Linked DNA regions of Drosophila melanogaster. The protein of the gene in region 3 interacts with the protein of the main gene of each other region in a biochemical or structural test. Each region holds a gene or a part of one and is shown on either strand. Other genes may lie near its edges.

Region 1 (5,415 bases), on a different chromosome or scaffold from region 3:
GACAGTCGATTAGATGAGCGCCCCAAATTAAAAATATCCGGGGAATTCCCGGTAGTGAAATTTCATATTAAAATGTGTCATAAGACATATTTGCCCTGGCACAGGAAAACTATTTGGCGACCCGTTAAACCGCTTTTCACCCCGTTGAATTTTACGCTCGACCCGCAAGATGGATTTGGGCAAAAATGTTCGAAGAATTTTCATCATACCCACATGAACGGCAATAAGTTGTGGCCTTGTGAGCAACTTTGAAATTCGACATACATAACTAAAAACTTTCAAGCCTGTTGATGAGTTTAGATTTTAACCAAAGTTGGCTAGTTAGCCCACTGGCAATCTTGAAACTTCCTGTCAGGGTTTCCTTGAGTGGAGCACACGCGGCGTATGCGTAACTAATTCAGGTGCTCTCGAGTGGTGAGTTTCCACAAAAGGATTTCCCCTTCCGAAAAGAGAGAAAGAGAAAGCAATCAGCTGCTGGTCCGGAACTTTCTCTGTTTTCTTTTACTATCTGGGCTTCAGAGGAAATGTTAATGTTAGTGGTGAAAAGCTGTCTCTTAAAAGAGAGAAAGCCAAAAGAAAAATCCACCCACTAAATATCAGAGCTTTAAGCGTTAAAGCTTTAATGAACATTTAGATGGCTTTTAGCGAAGGATACAATAAATAAATTTCGGTAAATTAACTTGCAAAAGCCTAGTTTTTCGAAGAAGCCTATAAACTTTTCTCAAAGCTTTTTTTTAGACCATTTTAAATGATGGTTATAAACTCGGGATTCATGAAAGAAAATCCGATAAAATCGTTCTGGTCCAAATTCATCATAAAAAGCTTGTCCGTTGGAGTTAAGTCCGTCTTCTCCTTGGTAAAGGCATCATCAAAGTTGCTTATATCCTTGCGATGTTTCTGAAATGTACCCAAGATTACAATAAAATGATTTCCTAGTGGGGCTCCTGTTTTAGCTTACAATCATTGGCTTAATAGGTGGCTCCATTTCGCATGCCTCTGCCTTATCCCAGTCCACATTCCGGAAGAAAGGATGCGTGGTAATCTCCTGTCTGGCATAGCGGCCTGCACCCAATCTATTGTTGGGCTTTTTGGTCAGGAACTTTGGAATACAAATCTATACCATTAGATTCATATGTTTTTGAAATCCAACACTTACGCTCGTTATTATATCCATGGCCTCCACGCTGAAATGCTTTGGAAACACCGCCTTCTTGTCCTTTATGTTCCTAAAGACAGTAGTTTCATCATCTCCTTCGAATGGAGCCTGACCTGCCATGAATTCGAAAAGCAATACACCAAAAGACCACCAATCAGCGGCGATGGAATACGGATCGTAGCTAACAATCTTAAATTATTTTTAAGCTGATTATTTTTACACTTATTTTTTTCGGCTGATTTACTTACTTCGGGAGCCATATAATTTGGAGTACCACAAAAGGTTCGTGTGGTCTGCCGCTCGGTAACGCCCTCTTTGCTCAATCCAAAGTCGACCAGCTTTACATGCCCCTCACCATCCAGCAAAATGTTGTCCAGCTTTAGATCTCTATAGATAATATCACGCTCGTGGAGGAAAAACAGAGCAATAGCCACTTCCACAGCGTAAAAACTAAGCACATAATATATAGAAGATTTCAAAATATGGTACTTGAATATAAATATTTGTACTCACATAGCCACAGACTCCTTGAACCTTCCATACTGCTGCATATGGTACATAAGATCTCCACCCTTACAGTACTCCATTACGAAGAATAATCGGTCCATAGTCTGGAAACATGAGTGCATGGAGACGAGGAAAGGAGGACGTCCGGATAGGGCTAGAATTTTCTTCTCATTCATTGGCAGCTCCATATCGTCCGTTTGGATAATGACATCCTTTCGCAGGACCTTCACGGCATACAGCTCATCCGTGCCACGACGCTCGGCCAGCAGGACTTTGCCAAAGGATCCCTTGCCAATAACTTTAACAAAGTTGAAATCAGCAGCTCGAATCATATCGCGTTTGCTCATATTATGCGGCATATCCTTGTTGTCCATGCGACGCTTTTCATTCGGACGACGATCGTGCTGAAAATCAGGAATATTAAATATGTGGCAAACTTGGTGAGGACATCCGCTTACCCTAACTTCATCCCTTAAGCGAGCTATATCATTAAAGGCATCCACACAGGGTATGTTATAATGTTCACCCTCCACTTGCGACAGAAACTTATACCAGCCATCAACTGGCTCCTTTTGCAGTTCCTCCAGGCTGAACGAGAACGATCCCATGAAATCATTGCGAGAAGTTCGATCCCAATCCCAAACCTCGATGAGCAAACGCTTGTCACGGTCCTGCGGCTGCAACTCACTAGGATTAAAGAAAATATGGTAAAGAGGTCTATTTAGAGGATTAGTTTTCAACTATTACAAAGTAAAAGTCTCGTTGAACACTGGATTGAGGTTTTTCTGAATGGTCTTGGTCTTCTTTTTGGTGCGCCCCGAACGGTCCGGATGCATTTGCACTGCAATATAGGGATCGCTAAACCCGTTGGTATCCATGGGAATGAGGTTAGCTGCCTCCTTAACTGCAGTATGAAAGAAACATTAATCTTTATATGGGCATATAAACTTTAAGTAATAACTTACTATCAACTTTCAAGTTATTGCCCTTAAGCTCGACGTATAGCAGTAGTTTACCCCTCACCTCGCTGATGTCCGCACCACACATCGGTGGCACTGTCTCCTGGCAGGCGTGATGCACATTTAGGTTGCAATCTGAAATATTTGGGTTAATAGCTTGAAAGCAATAGGACTCGAGTTTATTCAGGAATTTACTCTCGCACTTGACGCCCTGATGGGCGACTCCATGGAGCAGCAGTCCGCACTCGTCGCAGAATGTCGGTGTGGTGTAGGTGGTGGAAATCCAGCCGTGCTTCACCTTAGCGCAGTCGGCATCGAAGTCCGTGTCCTTGCCAGGACATTTGAACACCACAAATTTACAGCACTTCTGGTGAATGTTGAAGCGGCATTCTGCGTATGCAAATATTTTAAAAGATTTTTTAAATTGTGAACATTTCTACCTACCCTCGCACTGAAAACCTTGCTTGCCAAAGCCCCTAATCCCGGCACGAATCCGCGAATGCAACAATGCGAAACGGAAGAACAGCGAAAAAAATATAGAAAAAACAACGAAAAGTGTGTCAGCAACGAAGGCACTAATTAAATTAACGATGGGAACGCTGAGATGCCAGCAAAAACCGAAAACGAAATTTCTCACCAGATGAAATCCTTGCAATGACCGCAGTAGGTTGGATTCTTAAAGAATCTAACTCCGAAACGATGACCATTGACCATTTCGAGACCCTTTCGCTTCATCGCACCCTTCCTTAGACGATTCTTCATATAGTTGACGATATTTGCTTCGCCAGTGATCTCCAGTAGATTTCCTGGACCTTTGCCAGCTCCAGCCGCTGGAGCCTTGGCCCCTGGAGCGGCACTGGGCACCGAGGGAGGGAGCACAGTGGCCCCCGGTGTGGCAACAGCAGCCGCAGCCATTAAAAGATAATGTCAGGGAATTGGATAGCTAGTGAAGAGAAAAAGCTGACTCAGACCGTACGGTTTCAAGCCCGTCTAGAAACTGACCCGGTCGGTCAGGTGAAGACCCTAAAAGAAGCAACTTGGAAGCCAACAAAGTGCACACACAAAGTTGAAGGCAAGAAAATGACACAGAGTGATGCAAACGGGCGACAGTTTGGACTTATGCAATAGTGCATAAGACGTAATTTCATTCATAAATTTTCCAAATATGTATTTGTTCCTAGCTTATAGAAACCTCCTTATCCATATCTCATTATATTTGTGTAGACTGAATAAAAAATGTAATATAAATACAACATAATACTGCTCATACATATCAAAAAAAAACCATAAGAGAAATGTTTCAGAAAAATACCCTTCTGATTTAAAATTATTTCTGCACATGTAAAGCAGCTAAAAGAAAATAAAATATGTGTGAGTAAACACACGAATATTAAACGTTAATTATGCACATATCAAAGTGAATAATATTTTATAGCCTCTTTATTGCATGTTTTTTTAATTATTTAAAATCGGACATTTGTGGAACTATTTACCACAATTAAATTGTGCCTTTGTTAGCGTAAATCGGTGTTAAACAATTGTGTAATATTTGAGACTTTGTATGATTAATTTCTGTCAATTTCTAGGTACTTAATATATGTGTGCGCATTTTAAAAGTCAAATTTAATGCTTTTAACCATTTCATAACAATGAATGTCATGTCCAAAGCATCCTTACTACTAGTCCCTATAGATCTTACACAAGTTGCCATGCAACCATTTGCTCTATGCCTGGGTAATCAGCACTTATCCACGCTGATTCAGTTAGTTCGGCAGTTAGCCCCCATCGCAATTGTCCCCCAGGAAAAAGCACTCAACGACGTCCCGTCAATCGAACGGAGGACCGAAGAGTGAAAGCCAAGAACTCTCGTCTTTGGGCCCTTACCAGCGATAAGTGTAAACAGCTTGGGAAAGGTCAAGAAGGTGCTTACCTGGCCAGAAGACAAACATAATCATCATCGGAGCCATTGCTCCGGACAACTGCAGCTGTGACGTCAATGCAATAAAATTGGAAAAGTGGGCGAAGGGGTTTCGGAAAATGGTGATGTGCGAAAGCTTCTATGTGTGTGTGTGTGTGTATGTGTGACTATTGTCGATTGAGTATTTATACTGTGTGGCAGTTTTGATTAATTTATGCAATTGCTGGCAGGGCACGTTTTCCGTGAAAGAACCCCCCATTTAAGCGCCGCCCCTGCAAGCCAGCTGGCTTTCAGTGCAGGGCTAAAAATAGAAATAGAAAACGCAGAATTGAGCACAAAGTGCACACAGGACACAGAAGGACACGCTGGCTGGCAAGGCAAACAAAATACAAAATAAAAGCGGTTAGCTGAAATCCAAGCTGAAACAACTAAAAACGCTACCGAAAGCAGCGATGAAATGGGTTGGAAAATGCATTAAAGCGGAAATGTAGGACCTTTGTCGGGGAAAAATGCCATTAAAGCAGGTCCAAGTCAAAGTATCTAAGTATCTGCAGCGGCACGCGTATCTGTATCTCAGAAGTGCACTCAGTGAGTCGACAAATATGCACTCGCAGATTGCCCAGAACTACAGAACTGCACACCTGTCGGTTGAAAGGCATTGACAAGGGGGTTTCGGCGAGCAGAGGGAATTGCAAATAGATTTCGTTGCCGTGGCAGCTTTGGCTTTCAATTTACGTCATCATTTCCATGGCGTCGCCAAACAATTTTCCCCTCCATTTTTCCCTCTTGGCCATTTCACAAAAGCAGGCCAAGCCGCAAAGAGCCAGAGAGCCGCCTCTCAGCGTATAACACATTTTTGTTTAGCTTTACTTCCA
Region 2 (5,468 bases), on a different chromosome or scaffold from region 3:
AGTTTTAATTTCTATCAATTGCAGAGTATTTCATTGTAAAGTAATACGATAATATAGATAGATTTGTATTAGACGTGGAAGGTTTCTCCTTACGCTTCCAATAAATTTTCCCCACATGTTTTGTGCCGGCTAAGATAGCTTATCGCACCAAACTCACGTTTTTAATATTTTTGTTTATTGATAAGAATTTAAAATTGTAGTGAAGAAGGTTTATAAAACGGTTTCACTGCACTTCTCATAATTCCCCCACCTATAACAACGCACTTTTGCATAACTAACCGATGCAGCAGGAGGTTTGCACACTGCCGAGCAACTTTGCTAACTACTATTTTCATTTGTTTCCAGGTCATGCCTGCCGTGGTTATTCGGCAGCGCAAACCGTTCAGGAGGAGGGACGGGGTGTTTATATACTTTGAGGACAATGCCGGGGTAATAGTAAACAACAAGGGCGAAATGAAGGGCTCGGCCATCACTGGACCGGTGGCCAAGGAATGCGCCGATCTGTGGCCCCGTATTGCATCCAATGCAAGCTCTATAGCCTAAGGAGTTTCCTTTTCAATAAACCCACAACGGAAAACAGATTGTTTTGAATTCGAATTGTTGGTTCTTTTATTGAATTGCTGCACTGCTTCGCTACCGGAGGAGGAGAATGAGGATCGTCTCTAGGCCTTGGGTGCCTCCGTACGTAGAGTGGGCTTGGGTCGTGTCACTTCCATCGATACCTTGCCGTTGGCTCCCTTGAACAAGGCGTAGCACACCTGGAACGGAAGACCCTCCAAGGCATCGCCATTGAATTTGGTGATAATATCGCCGCGCTGCAGTTTGCTGTCTATCTCCGGGTATTGTCCTTGAATCTGTCGAGAAAGTAGTTACTTAGGGTTGAGCCTTCCTACCACTGTATACCAGTGGTGTATGTGCACTCACCAAGTCCGCGATGGTACATCCAATTTCGTTGGGAGAAAGCGACAGGCCCAGCTCCTTGCCTGCTTTTTTCATAAGGTCAACGTTAAACTTTTCCAGCTCCGGAGGATCAGCGCGGAAGACCGTTAGGGTGACCGCTTTCTCGTATGTGGTGTGGAATAACTGATGGACCTTCAGTGTCGTCATGGATCCCACGTGGATTGGCGTACCATTTATATCGCAAATGTGGTCAAAGATCTTGAGGCGCTTGTCGGCTGCCACTTGTCCCTCCGGATAAACGTGGGTGATTACACAGCCAGTCTGTCAGGGAAAAGTTGTTTAAGGTACTTCTTGCAGAAACAGAAAGTTCAGATAGCCCACCGTGACATGGTTGTTCTTGCCGCCGCAGACGATGACGCCCATTGGCTTCTTTTCCACCTTCAACTCAATGAGTATCTTTTTGTTCGGCTTGATCTCGGCTGTGGCGGGTTCCTGTGGCTTTTCCTCCTCTTTCTTGGCCTCTGTGAGTTATCGGGATGAAGATGTCAGTTTTGAACTTGCTTGGACGCAATACCTACCCTCCTTCTTTTTCTCTTCCGCCGCCTTCTCAGCCTTTATCGCCTCCTCGCTCTTGAGAGTCAATAGAATCATGGTCACTACGCCCTCGGCACGTTTAAGCAGTCCAGTAGCCTGAAGTGGATATGAAATGGTTTTAAACTAAGTGGTTGGAGGGCTTCCTGACGACTCACATCATCGTAGTTGGATTCCAGTGTTACATCCTGATTAACGGCCAGCAGCATGTCGCCCACTTTCACGCCCGCCAACTCGGCATTCGATCCCTCTCTCAGATCCGAGATGAAAATGCCACTTCCCACCTCAGCGTGCTTGCCATAGATGACCATGATGCCCAGGAAACCCTCCTTGCGCACCTGCACCGTGCGCGCCTTGGGAAACTGGTCGAAGATAAACTTAGTCTGGAATAGAAGGGAAGGACATTTTATCGCAGGATCCATCCGAAAAGAAGTGAAAAGTACGGACCTCATCAGACGCGGTGGGGAACTTCTTGATGGGCTTGACGCACATGCCCTCATCGTTGGGCTTGCGTCGCGAGGTGATCATCACGAGCTTATCCCCATCCACGTTCTTGAACACGGCGGAAGCGTTCAAGTGGCAGCGATTCTTCAGCACATTGCCGTTGACCTCGACGATCTCGTCGCCCGGTTTGATGTCCACGCTACCCAATGCTCCGTTGGGATCCACACCGGCAACAAAGCAGGCCATCTTCTGGCGGTCCTTGTGGCCAGCGAGTGCGAGTCCCAGTGGCTTGCTGGCGTCCCTCTGGACCTCGATCCTGCGCAGATCCTTCATCATGTTGTACCGCTTGTTGATCTTAGCTGGGAATGGCATTCACGTGCTGTGTGACTGACATTTTTTAATGGCTTCAATTGAGTCTTACCCATCGTGTAGCCAAATTCATCTTCCTGCTCCTTGTCGCGATCCTTTTCCTGCTTGTTGAGTTTGCAATTACCGGCGGATGCTCGATCGATCTAAGGTACTTATAAGTTAGTAGAGCGATGGGTGGCGACCTTGGGTTAACCCACCTCATAACCCGCCTCCGTGCGAATGCGACCGGTCATGTCCCGGGTGTCCTCGTCATCCTCGTCGGCGTAGTTACTATGCTTCTGACGCATCGAGGCCGTGAATGTGGTATTCCGCTTCTGCATCGATTGCTGCCGGTTCATGCCAGCCATTCCCTGACCCTGACCCTGACCTTGCCCCATTCCCTGACCTCCGGACGCATTGTTGTTGGTGGTCTGCTCCTGGTTGAACTTGTTCTTGGCCTGCATGTAGCCATTGCTCCGCGGATCTGACTTGGCCTGCTGCTCATCGCTCTTGTCGAAGGTCTGAATCTCCAGTTCGATCTTGAAGTCCGCCTCCTTGATGAGATCGATGACCGCCTGTTCGGTGGAGTTGCGCACATCCTTTCCGTTGAGCGAGAGGATCCGATCGCCAACCTTTAGGCGACCACACAGATGCGCGGGACTGTCGGGCACAATGCCCTTGATGAAGATGCCGGTGGTCTTGGTGTTGGGCGAATCCTTCACCTCGCCGCGCACTATGCAGATGCCGAAGGACTTCTTGCCCGTCTTGTCCAGGGTCACCATGTGAATGAGCTCTGGGAAAGGATTGTGCATTCCAAATGAAATAAAAACTATTTACAACGTATTGTTAAAGTACGACTAAGACAAATGTGAAGCTATTACTAATAAATATTTATTGGGGTCCTTATCCCACTTGGTATCCTTTCGCAAAATAATTTTCACCAATATTGTATAATCGTTTATATAAATGTTAAGGTTAAGTTCATTACATAAACATATTTCTCACAGGATTCTTAAGAATCAATAAAGTCAATTGAATTGGCTTTTGTTCAAATTTTGTTTTATTTGATTCATAAAACACAAAACGAGTATTGAGTGACCTTTGGAAGGTCAAGTTCTTTCGGGACTAGCTGCAAATTTGATTAGCAGTTGGTCATGAAACCACTCAATGGACACTGACCACCCGCGGTGCCCTGTTTGCCCAGGAACTGAACCATCCTCGCTGCTTGAGATCGACTGCTCCGTAATCCTAGCCAAAAACTCGCGACTCACTGACCGGACATTAAGCGCACCGAATTAAGCTCAAATGTAATATCGAATATTTATTGTTATGGGTTTTCACTTAATTATTATTTGTGAATATTCCGCGTTGGCTGCGCCCGATTTGAGTCCATTGAAAAGTGCGCCTAAACTGATTTTACAATTAGCGGGCGAACATTCTTGCTAACTGACTTAGTGGCCATTCTATTTTGAGTATGATTTTCGTATCGATTACACTGGTCAGCAGGGTTGATCTTAGAGTACCAGATGCATGTAGTTCATACATATATGCTAAGACACTTTCACAAACTTTCCTTCTAAAGAATGCTTGAGTAAAAGAAAAATTCTACTAATAATAATGAAAATGTTTCGTATCTTGAGATTACCCATTAAAATATTACCTTGCAGTACAGTGCTATCGATTCGGAGGAGGTGCCTCCAATGAATTGAGTAACTTTCACTGTCTGTTATGACACCACTCACAAAACACCCAGCTCCCCGAAGACGGCCATTATATGGGTTACCATCGCGGATGTGAAGGCTAGGGGAAAATGGATACCCATGTACCTTTATTGGCCCTATCAAGTTATTAATTTGTTGGTACGATTTGGCCCGTGCTGAACTCAACACTCCGCCAGGAGAAGCCCACCAAGTGTTGACCAGCAATGCCCATCGATTTTATATTTTTCTTTCATTGCACTTACAACTGAATAACATATGTCTCACACACTTTTACCTGGGCGAGAGCTTCTATATCGGCACTGCAAATAACAACAATTTGTGGGGGACATTTTTAAAACATATAATATCCTTAATAAAAAAACAATAATAAAATGCGCACAAAATACCGAAGAATAAAGAGTAAATAAATATAAAATGTAAGGTGACAATGATATGATATTGAATATGAACTGTATATATTCAGTATCAATAATATAGCCCCAAAAAGTAGGCAACAATTTCAATGCGAATTGGTAAGGATTGCTGGGGAACTTCTGAACCAGACACAAGCGGTAATCAAATAAAACTTTCAAGATTTTTATCTTTCGAGTGGCAAATAAATTTAATTTGTCTGCCGAGCTTAAATTCATAATCAAGATTTGCATTTTAATGCCTTTGTCGGGGGGAAAGGCGGTATGAAAAAAGGAAACTGGAGGCAGGGAAGGGAGAATATGACTATGCAAACATTTCCCGAACATTGCCCGAACGGAATGAAACGAAAGTGGAATGGCTAAGGCAGCTCCAAAGGAAAACTAGAGTAAACACATGCTCAAAGGAGCTGGGCGCAAAATGGGGTTTAAACTGGAAAATGGCGAACCCAACGGAGAGTGGGAGTGAGAGCGATGGGAGTGGAACGTCAACGACTGCGAAACGATGCTGGAAATTAATTTCATAATAAAAAAGCGTAAGGAAACCCATTTGATAAAACAATTTCCTTTTTGCCTCCCAACAGTCATGTTTTGTTAGTAAAGTAAATTCAAAAGAGAGCACAGCGAAAATATGGCAATGAGCTTAACGCTGCCGCCCCCTTTTCCACCTCTTCCCCCAGCCCCGCCCCGCTCTCTCCTCGTCCCTTGCAGCCTCTGCCGCTGCCGACGTCGCTGTTCGCAAGACCTCGCCCTCCGATTGGCTCTCTGGCCGCAGGCCACGCCCCTGCAATGGCTGCTTTGTGCCGTGTCCTTTTCGGCTGTTCCGCTCTCTGTTTCTCTCTCTCCTTCTCTCTCTCTCTCTCTCTGTCCGCTCCTGCAGAAGTCGTGCTGCTGCGGCGCAGTCGGCGCATGGTTGTTGCGGGGATTTAGTTAACTGAAGTGATTTTCCACTGTTGGCTGTCACACAGGCAAACACACTCACACACATACACCCACTCGTCCTTATGTAAGTGGCCACACGTGTCTGTGTGTGTGTGTGTGTGTGTGTGTGTGCAGG
Region 3 (7,845 bases):
TCACCAGCTGTACTGAATTCGGCGATTATGAAAATCACTAGAACTATGTGGACCAACATAGATTTCATATTTGCAAGACTATTTAGGACGAAACACTGGCTTGGCGAATATGTTTTTCGGTCTGATGTTATCCTCGGAACGGTCACGGTTCTTCTGATTCCTCTGGTCGAAGTTCACGTTCTTTTATAGGCCAGAAAAGCAGGCGGATGGATGGCAGACAAACAAATTGCCATCGGAACAACGGGGCGGATGATGAATGTTGCTGCGATGCAAATGAGATGTTGCTGGCAACAGGTGGCCTTTAGCAACAAGTTGCAGAAACGTGGTACTTGAGATTCTTTTTTTTTATTATTCACACAAACAAAGGACTTAACTATTTAATTGCTATGAAAGTGGATTCCGCGGCTTAGAGCCAGCCGGAGATCATGCGTCCTGTGACCGTGGATTTGCCTCGTTCTCCGCCAGCTGCGGCACTGCTCTGACCCACCTTGATCGCCGGCTTCAGAGGAGCTGCTGCTGGCTTCTTGTCCTTGTCATCGGCAGGCTTCTTGTCCTTATCATCGCTCGGCTTCTTGTCCTTGTCGTCACCCGGCTTCTTGTCCTTATCGTCTCCCGGCTTCTTGTCCTTGTCATCGGCTGGCTTCTTATCATTATTGTCAGCAGGTTTCTTGTCTTTGTCGTCGCCAGGTTTCTTGTCCTTATCGTCGCCGGGTTTCTTATCCTTGTCCTTGGCATCGTCTCCTGGCTTGGAGTCTCCTGCAGCCTTTTTTGGCTCCTCCGGACCGCTCTTCTTTTCGTCCGGCTTGGAGGCCCCATTGGTTGCCTTAGTTGCTTCTGGTGCTCCAGCTGCTCCAGGTTTCAGTTTGGAATCCGGCTTGGCATCCGAAGGAGCGGAGGGAGCTGCGCTCTTGGCTGCTCCATTTGTGGCTGCCGGCTTGCTAGCTTCGGTCTTGGAAGACTCCTCCTTTTTGGCAGCGGCCTCGGGCTTGGCGGATTCTCCAGGCTTCGGCGCAGCAGGCTTGGTGTCTCCAGGTTTGGTTGGTGGTGCCGGAGCGTCCTTCTTTTGTGACTCACCGGGCTTGCTGATAGTGCCAGCTGCTTGGGGCTTTGGAGCTCCCGCACCCGGAGTTGGCTTCTGATCCCCGGGCTTGGGACCACCTGCTGACGGCTTGGAGTCCTTGGGAGGCTGCTGCTTATCCTTATCATCACCTGCTTTCTTGTCATCCGTTGGCTTGCCCATCGTGCCGGGCTTGCCATCGGCTCCGGATTTTTCATCCACATTCTTAACCGATGCTCTTAGAGCAGCTGCAGCCAACATAGAAGCTCCTCCTCCAGTTCCACCACTAGTTATGGACTTTTTAGACTGCAAGTGAGATTATATATTAGCCAGGGAATACATATACATATATTGATTGGAACGTACCCCAGAGGCATCCAGTGGCTTCTTTTCGCCTTCGCCATTTGGAGCACCCTCGTCATCGGCCAAGGAAACCTCGTCGGCAGCCATCTTCTTCCGCATGAACTTGACATAAGCCACTCTTGTGGCACGCGTCACATCACCCAAGTTGGGATTGAATTCTGGAGGAGATCAAGGGTATGGAAATATACATACATTGGGCACATCTTTATTAATTTACCAATCAACTGGGTCTGGTTCATCTGAAGACCCTCATTCGCCTGCTCGATGATCTTCCTCCTCAAGCTTCGCTGGCTATGACGTTGCATGGAGGAGCGCTTGGAGCCAATGGGATCGGAGGCGAAAGTATTCTTCCTCGCAATGGCGTTCCAATCCTTGTCTCTGTTGAGAATAATAACCATTATTCAAAGCGTCTTACAGATTTAAGTGGACCTACCCCTTCTGGGTCTTCTTTCTGCCGATGACCTTGGCCAGCGATGAGAATATATCTCGTCCGCTCTCAGATTCGCTCATTTCCTGCTTCAGATTCTCGACGAAGCCGATTTGGAAGTCCTTAAGGATGCGACGTTCCATCACCTTGCCCTTGGTGGTTCGAGCAACTCCTTCAAAAGTAAGTTTAGTGAATAAAATCCATTAAAATCCATTCTAGCTTTGTAGTCTTCTAGCACAACATATTTCAAATTAATATTCAAGATGGGGTGAACTTTATTAGGTATTCAAAAGCTAATTGTAAATAATTATTCATATATACTGCTACTTCTATCTTAAGACACGTGTAAGTTGCCAATTTGGATGTGGGTAGGCTTCCCTTACCCTGCGACTTCTTCTCAATGTCGGGTACATCCCAGTTATTGTTGGTGAAAATCTCCAGCAACTCGAACCGCAAGGAGCTGATGTCCTGGCGCACCTCAATGATATCATCCTCGGTAATGCCGTAATCGTCCCGCCGCCTCTGCTCCGCCGTAATGTACCTCCTGACCAGCAGCTTCATCACTTTGTCATGCAGCGTCTGTGCCCGTTCCATGGACTTTCGCTGGGAGTTGGAACAGGGAGCATTAGAGGGTGGAAGGACACAGAAAGGATGTATTAGACGTCAATTTGACGCACAGATAGCTCTGCATGGGCTTGATTGAAAATGATTTCGCTTAAGATTTGTATTGATTGTGAGCCGCCTCTCACTGTGAGGTGATTCAACTTGAAAAAATCGAACTTTCGAAATGTTACTTACATTTAAAAGTAATATGATAAGAAATATCATTTAAAAGTAGAGTACACTGAATTTAATATATATGTGTGGATTTGTATAATACTTAAACTGAAATATTGAATTTCTCTGAGTGTAACTTACCATGAAGCTCTTGGTTCGTGACGGTCGCTTTCGGCCCAGGGTCTTCCTCAACATCTTCATGTTGGGACAGAGGTTGAAGGGCGGTGGAATGGTGCCGCCATCCTCGAAGTAGCTCATCCACAGCTGGGATCGGGCGAACTTCCACTCAGTGTCGGCTCGCTCCGAGATGATTTGGTAGGAGTTGGACATCATGGCAATCAGCATGTTGAGAAGCACAATGATGTTGATAACCGAATAGGAGCCGAACATTAGCAGTGCCCAGAAGCGGGTGAAGCTCTTGATTCCCGCCAGATCGAAGGAGACCAGGTCCACCAGGCCAAAAGAGGCCCAAAAGAGCGATTGTGATGTTTCGAATAAGCTAAAGTAAATTGAAATGGGATGCCAATATGATAAAGTACATAGAAATGAATGTAATATACTTGGAAAATCTTCGCCAGATGGTACAAGCCTTCTCCTGGTCATCAAAGTCAGCCACATCGGGATGCAGGTGATAGCACTTGTTCTTCTCCAGCTCAGCGTAGTACCATAGCAACTGGTTGAGACCACATCCGAAGGCAAACAACACCAGTGTGTAGATGAAGAAGAACTTGATGATGTCGATTATCATGCGACCCAGTGAAACTTGCAAGGGTCCCAGGTGGGGATTAATGGAGAAGATGTGGACGAGCTTTAGATAGGAGAAGACCATTCCGGCAGCAAAGGCGCCCTCTGATAGAAGCATTGGATCAAACGGATGCCAGTGTTCCCTTGGGAAGTAAGGATCTATGCCCCGGAACCAGAGATCACGCTGAAATCAATTCGTTTCAGTAACTCCAATTTATTCATTAGATTCATATGGACTCACATGGACGATTACCCAAGCGGTGGCCCTACAAAGAATCCACGTCACATAGAACATGTTCGATATGTAGTCCACTATGTTCCAAAGATCCATGATGTACTCAAACAAGCCGTCCGAATATAAAGATTTCAGTTCCTCAAATATTAGAGCCATTATGTAGGTAATGATTGCCAGTTCAATGGGACCCGGTAGTGAACCTCTCTCGTGTTTGCGCCAATCCTCCAGCATGGTCAGCATCCAGGGAAATGCGAGGAGTTCAAAGGTGATTTGCACCACCCTCAGGGAGGCAGCACCCAGGAGCACTGTGAATGGGCGCATATTTAGATGGATGAAGTGTTAAGCACCCACTTTACCCACTCAGGAAGAACATGTAGGAGCAGGAGTGCGTGATGAACTTGACAAAGGGCTTGCGCATGAACTTGGCACCCTCGGAATCCGGGGCCAGGATGTACTTCAAGCTGTAGATGGGGAAGCTGCATCCCAGCTTCACGACATCCATCAGCTGCTGGGAGGCCTGCTTGCGCCGGAAGCCCGGCAGTCCGTCGTACCAAATGGCGGCCAACAATTGTTGGACATTTGGATGTGCCACAAACTAGAAGGGGGAGTAATGTTTATAAATTCAAGCAGGGTACTAAGATCCGTTTCTATATATAAAGCTATTAAATCCCAGTTGGTCTGTGGTGGATTAGGCATGGGTATCTAGCCACAAGCTTGTAACCTTCACAGTTCCTTAATGTGCACGGATTAGTCCGAACCCACCGTTTTTTGCTTATAGCGAATGGCCAGCTTCAGTCGTTCCAGGGTTTGCCGCTGGCCAAGGCACCAGATGTCGTGGGACGGCTCGTGGTTGAAGTTGAGCATCACCTCGAGTTCCATGGATGTGCGTGCGTGATCCAGGAGCGAGGTCCCGAAGTCCTGCACCATCTGACGCATCTCCTGTTGGGCAAACACAAACAAAGGCTCGCATTCGCATTCGCATAGACTCTAGTGGCACACTGGCCACCGCTTACATTGCACACTACTACCGTACCGTGTATTCGGCACGAAACTCCGATTCCATCGCCTGCAGGCGCTTGAGTTCCCAGGACAATTGGAAGGCGGTCAGTACAGGGTCCCGGGAGCTGAGCGCTATCAGCGAGCTGGCGGACAGGGCGCGGTATGCGTTGATCCTCGACTGCGAGTGGCGCAGGGAGTCCGTCATCTGGGAGGTCACACACTCATCGCAGCCGCACCTAGAAACAATTGAGATTAAGCGATGATATACAAAGTGTACGGAACCCAAGAGTTCTATAATAATAAATACATTTAAATCAATCTGAAAGGAGTACAAAGGACCTTCTCTCCTAGCAAGGACATTTATGACGCTGTTAAAGGCTTGAGTCCATTGACCCAATTTAAGAACATTCAAGGACCTGCTCTTCCCACACACAACATTACACCCTGTATTAATATTTCACCCTAATTTGCCCGCAATTATCTAAAATTAGAGGCACCCAGCGATGTGCTACATAAGTGTGTTGCCAATTGGACAAACAATGGAACGTGCCGCTCGAAGGACGAGGAAGCTCACTACATAGCCATATCACCGAGCAACTGCATCCCTACACCACCCCACTCACTTGACGTCGTGCGGCATGGGCAGCGTGGCCCCGCGATCCAGGAGGATTTTGAGTATCTCGTAGTTATTTCGGTGGGCGGCCAGGATAAGGGGCGTGATGTCCACGGTGAAGGTGGACTTGGAGCGGTCCACCGCCTCCCAGCTCTGCCAAAGGAGGGGAAAAGAGTAAGAGTTGTGGCATATTCTGCGGCAGGATGTGACCTACGTATGGCTGGCCCTCCTTGTGGTTGGTCTCCTCCCACTGCAGCAGCTCCTCCACCGCCTCCACATACTCCTCCGAGATGGCGTGCAACAGGGCGTCGCCCACCTCGATGTTATGCTCCAGCAGGATCACCATCAGGTCGAAGTTCTCGTTCTCGATGGCCGAAATGAGGGCGGAGCGGTTCATGGGATCCGTGCAGTTAATGTTGAACTTGTCCGTGCCCTGGTACTCCTCGAGGATCCTTCAAGGACGAAATCATATTAGCCGAGTTACTCGAAGCCATAGGGAGGAAGCCTCACTTCTTGACACCTGGCAAGTCACCCCGCTCGCAGGACAATATGAAATTCTTCTCCACATCGCTGAGGATGTACTCCTCGGCCATCATCAGGTCGTAATCCAGGCGAGACCCCAACGCCTTCTCGGCATCGGATTCCGTATTGCTGCCCATATCTGCACTGATTTACTGGTCTATGCGAACGCGATTATCAGGATCGGATCACTCGGTCACTTCACATCTCACAAACACTATGGGCATTTATCCCTGCTCCTCGGGGAGCCTTGGCGTAATCCTTTCGCGCACTGTATCCTTTAGTGTTCCATCGTGGCGATGTTCCGCCTCCAATTAGCCGCGTTGCACTGCTGAAAAGTGGCAGCCACGGGTCGCTATATTCCACTAATTACATTAGTGCCCAATGTGGCTAAAACTCGGTCAATGTGTGGGCGAACCCCGAGTCAATGGGCCCATTTGACCGCACTTCGGTAATTGTGGGGCTGCATTTGGAGGCAGCAACCGATTTTAGCGATTTCAGTTCAGGAATCTTTCGTCCATTTGTGGTTGCATTGCACGTGATGAGCGACTTTCGATTTTCGAAGCCCCAGCAACGGAATCGCACCACTTTTATGCCTGAAAATCCAAATCAATACTGCCCAGTGGGTTTATATGTAAGTGAAAAACAAAACGTGCTAAATGGAACAATATTATCTGCTTATATTTCGATGAAATGATGCATACAGTTGAGATATGAAATTAAATAGGTGTCTAATATTTTGTACCCAGCAATATAGATCAATGCCCAAAAAAAAAATACGCACTTTGCATACTTTTTGACACCTATTCAAGCCGAAATTCAAAGCTACTTAATATTCAAAAAGTAGCATGAGGGTGTTAATTTGCGAGTAAATAGGGATTCATGGACTTGGGTTCATATCCTAGAACTATTCACCGAGAAAAGCCCTTAAAAATAGGAGAAAATGCAAGCTTTTAAGCTTTTGGCTAACCAACAGAGCCGGAAAACACACCACACCTGCAGTTTACAGTCGAGTATCTACCGAATTGAAATGATTTCGAATGCCTTTTGGGCACTGGGTCAGTGATTCTGACTTTGTGATTGATGAATATTGATTAATCTGCATGGGAAGTGGGAGGGGGAGGTGGGGTGGTGTACATCTAAGACCCAACTCGTCCTTGGCAGCCGAGCGTCTTGAGCCTTGAATGTTGAATGTTGCTTACTTCAGGGCGCTCGCAGGGCTTTTGTGTGTCAATGCACTTGGAACTAAATGCCAGCTCCTGGCTAAAGGCGGAGAAAAGGAAAAGGAACAAGCCCACTTTCACGGAGCAGCCCTTTGAGATGAATGTGTGTGTTCGAAAGGTGGGGTTCAATGGAGCTCCGGGCGGAATGGCATCGTACGTGTTCAAGTCGTACGGGGTTTTTAGCGGGGCCAATGCACTCCACACTCCACTCGCATGGCTTCCAAGAGAAGAGGAAGGAAGTGATGGTGGCCCAAGGAATTTCAAAATTAAAGTCACAGCTGTCGAGGGGAACTCATTAAGTGCGAATTAATTAGAGGCCATAGCTGAAAATACCTGGATGGCATTCTCGTAATTATATAAAGGTACTCCTCATTACACAAATGTGGCTAAATGCACATTCTTCTTATAAGTTCCCATTAACTAAATGCTATGTTGGGTTTATACATGATTTTCTGCAGTGTACAACTGGGTTGCACTCAATGATTCATTGGCCTCCAACAAAACTCCTGCCTTATTTAGCTTTTAAGGACCCTTGTGAGTTATGTGCTCAGTTCTCCACGAGAAAAGCGAAAGAGCTCATTTTCCCTGGGTTTGCGTAGCAGGTTGCACTTTCACTGTCTCCCCACCGGAAACCGTCAAGATTGCGGGATAAAATTCATTTTATGGCCATCTGTATTAAAATTATATCTCTAAGCCCTCAACATGATCGTAAAAATCTATAGTATCAATGCTGATTTGCTTTATGGCACCGATAAGATACTTATGTGTTTAAACAAATTGAATGTACCCACGTAGAAAATGATTTTATGAATTGCATCCGATGAGTAGTATTTAACATTAAATTTATTGTATTTTTAACTGATTCGCAAATCATTGAACACTGATAAG

The links.
Region 1: of the proteins of trp (region 3) and inaC, one has a biochemical effect on the other in vitro, tested with the Drosophila melanogaster proteins (2 studies listed by BioGRID).
Region 2: the proteins of trp (region 3) and inaD form a complex in vitro, tested with the Drosophila melanogaster proteins (4 studies listed by BioGRID, with this or other methods).

What each region holds. Positions count from the first base shown.
Region 1 is NT_033778.4:16,896,767-16,902,181, reverse strand, and holds inaC (inactivation no afterpotential C), read right to left. Parts: upstream 3,648-5,415; 5' UTR 3,538-3,647; coding exon 3,260-3,537; intron 3,099-3,259; coding exon 3,067-3,098; intron 3,013-3,066; coding exon 2,818-3,012; intron 2,758-2,817; coding exon 2,629-2,757; intron 2,568-2,628; coding exon 2,411-2,567; intron 2,351-2,410; coding exon 2,122-2,350; intron 2,068-2,121; coding exon 1,670-2,067; intron 1,607-1,669; coding exon 1,405-1,606; intron 1,346-1,404; coding exon 1,157-1,345; intron 1,100-1,156; coding exon 959-1,099; intron 898-958; coding exon 745-897; 3' UTR 607-744; downstream 1-606. UniProt on the Drosophila melanogaster protein: This is a calcium-activated, phospholipid-dependent, serine- and threonine-specific enzyme. This isozyme is a negative regulator of the visual transduction cascade and has been shown to be required for photoreceptor cell inactivation and light adaptation.
Region 2 is NT_033778.4:22,855,100-22,860,567, forward strand, and holds inaD (inactivation no afterpotential D), read right to left. Parts: upstream 3,696-5,468; 5' UTR 3,500-3,695; coding exon 3,463-3,499; intron 3,113-3,462; coding exon 2,502-3,112; intron 2,448-2,501; coding exon 2,357-2,447; intron 2,295-2,356; coding exon 1,939-2,294; intron 1,875-1,938; coding exon 1,650-1,874; intron 1,591-1,649; coding exon 1,479-1,590; intron 1,422-1,478; coding exon 1,282-1,421; intron 1,222-1,281; coding exon 925-1,221; intron 855-924; coding exon 663-854; 3' UTR 589-662; downstream 1-588. Other genes in the region: RpL23 (ribosomal protein L23), read left to right, coding at 346-543. UniProt on the Drosophila melanogaster protein: Involved in the negative feedback regulation of the light-activated signaling cascade in photoreceptors through a calcium-mediated process.
Region 3 is NT_033777.3:29,914,190-29,922,034, forward strand, and holds trp (transient receptor potential), read right to left. Parts: upstream 6,101-7,845; 5' UTR 5,875-6,100; coding exon 5,726-5,874; intron 5,668-5,725; coding exon 5,430-5,667; intron 5,369-5,429; coding exon 5,226-5,368; intron 4,839-5,225; coding exon 4,637-4,838; coding exon of another isoform or gene 4,628-4,636; exon of another isoform or gene 4,617-4,627; intron 4,543-4,616; coding exon 4,366-4,542; intron 4,199-4,365; coding exon 3,964-4,198; intron 3,909-3,963; coding exon 3,610-3,908; intron 3,553-3,609; coding exon 3,185-3,552; intron 3,124-3,184; coding exon 2,766-3,123; intron 2,451-2,765; coding exon 2,231-2,450; intron 2,020-2,230; coding exon 1,854-2,019; intron 1,799-1,853; coding exon 1,638-1,798; intron 1,579-1,637; coding exon 1,424-1,578; intron 1,364-1,423; coding exon 407-1,363; 3' UTR 332-406; downstream 1-331. Other genes in the region: Capa (capability), read right to left, coding at 5-68. UniProt on the Drosophila melanogaster protein: A light-sensitive calcium channel that is required for inositide-mediated Ca(2+) entry in the retina during phospholipase C (PLC)-mediated phototransduction.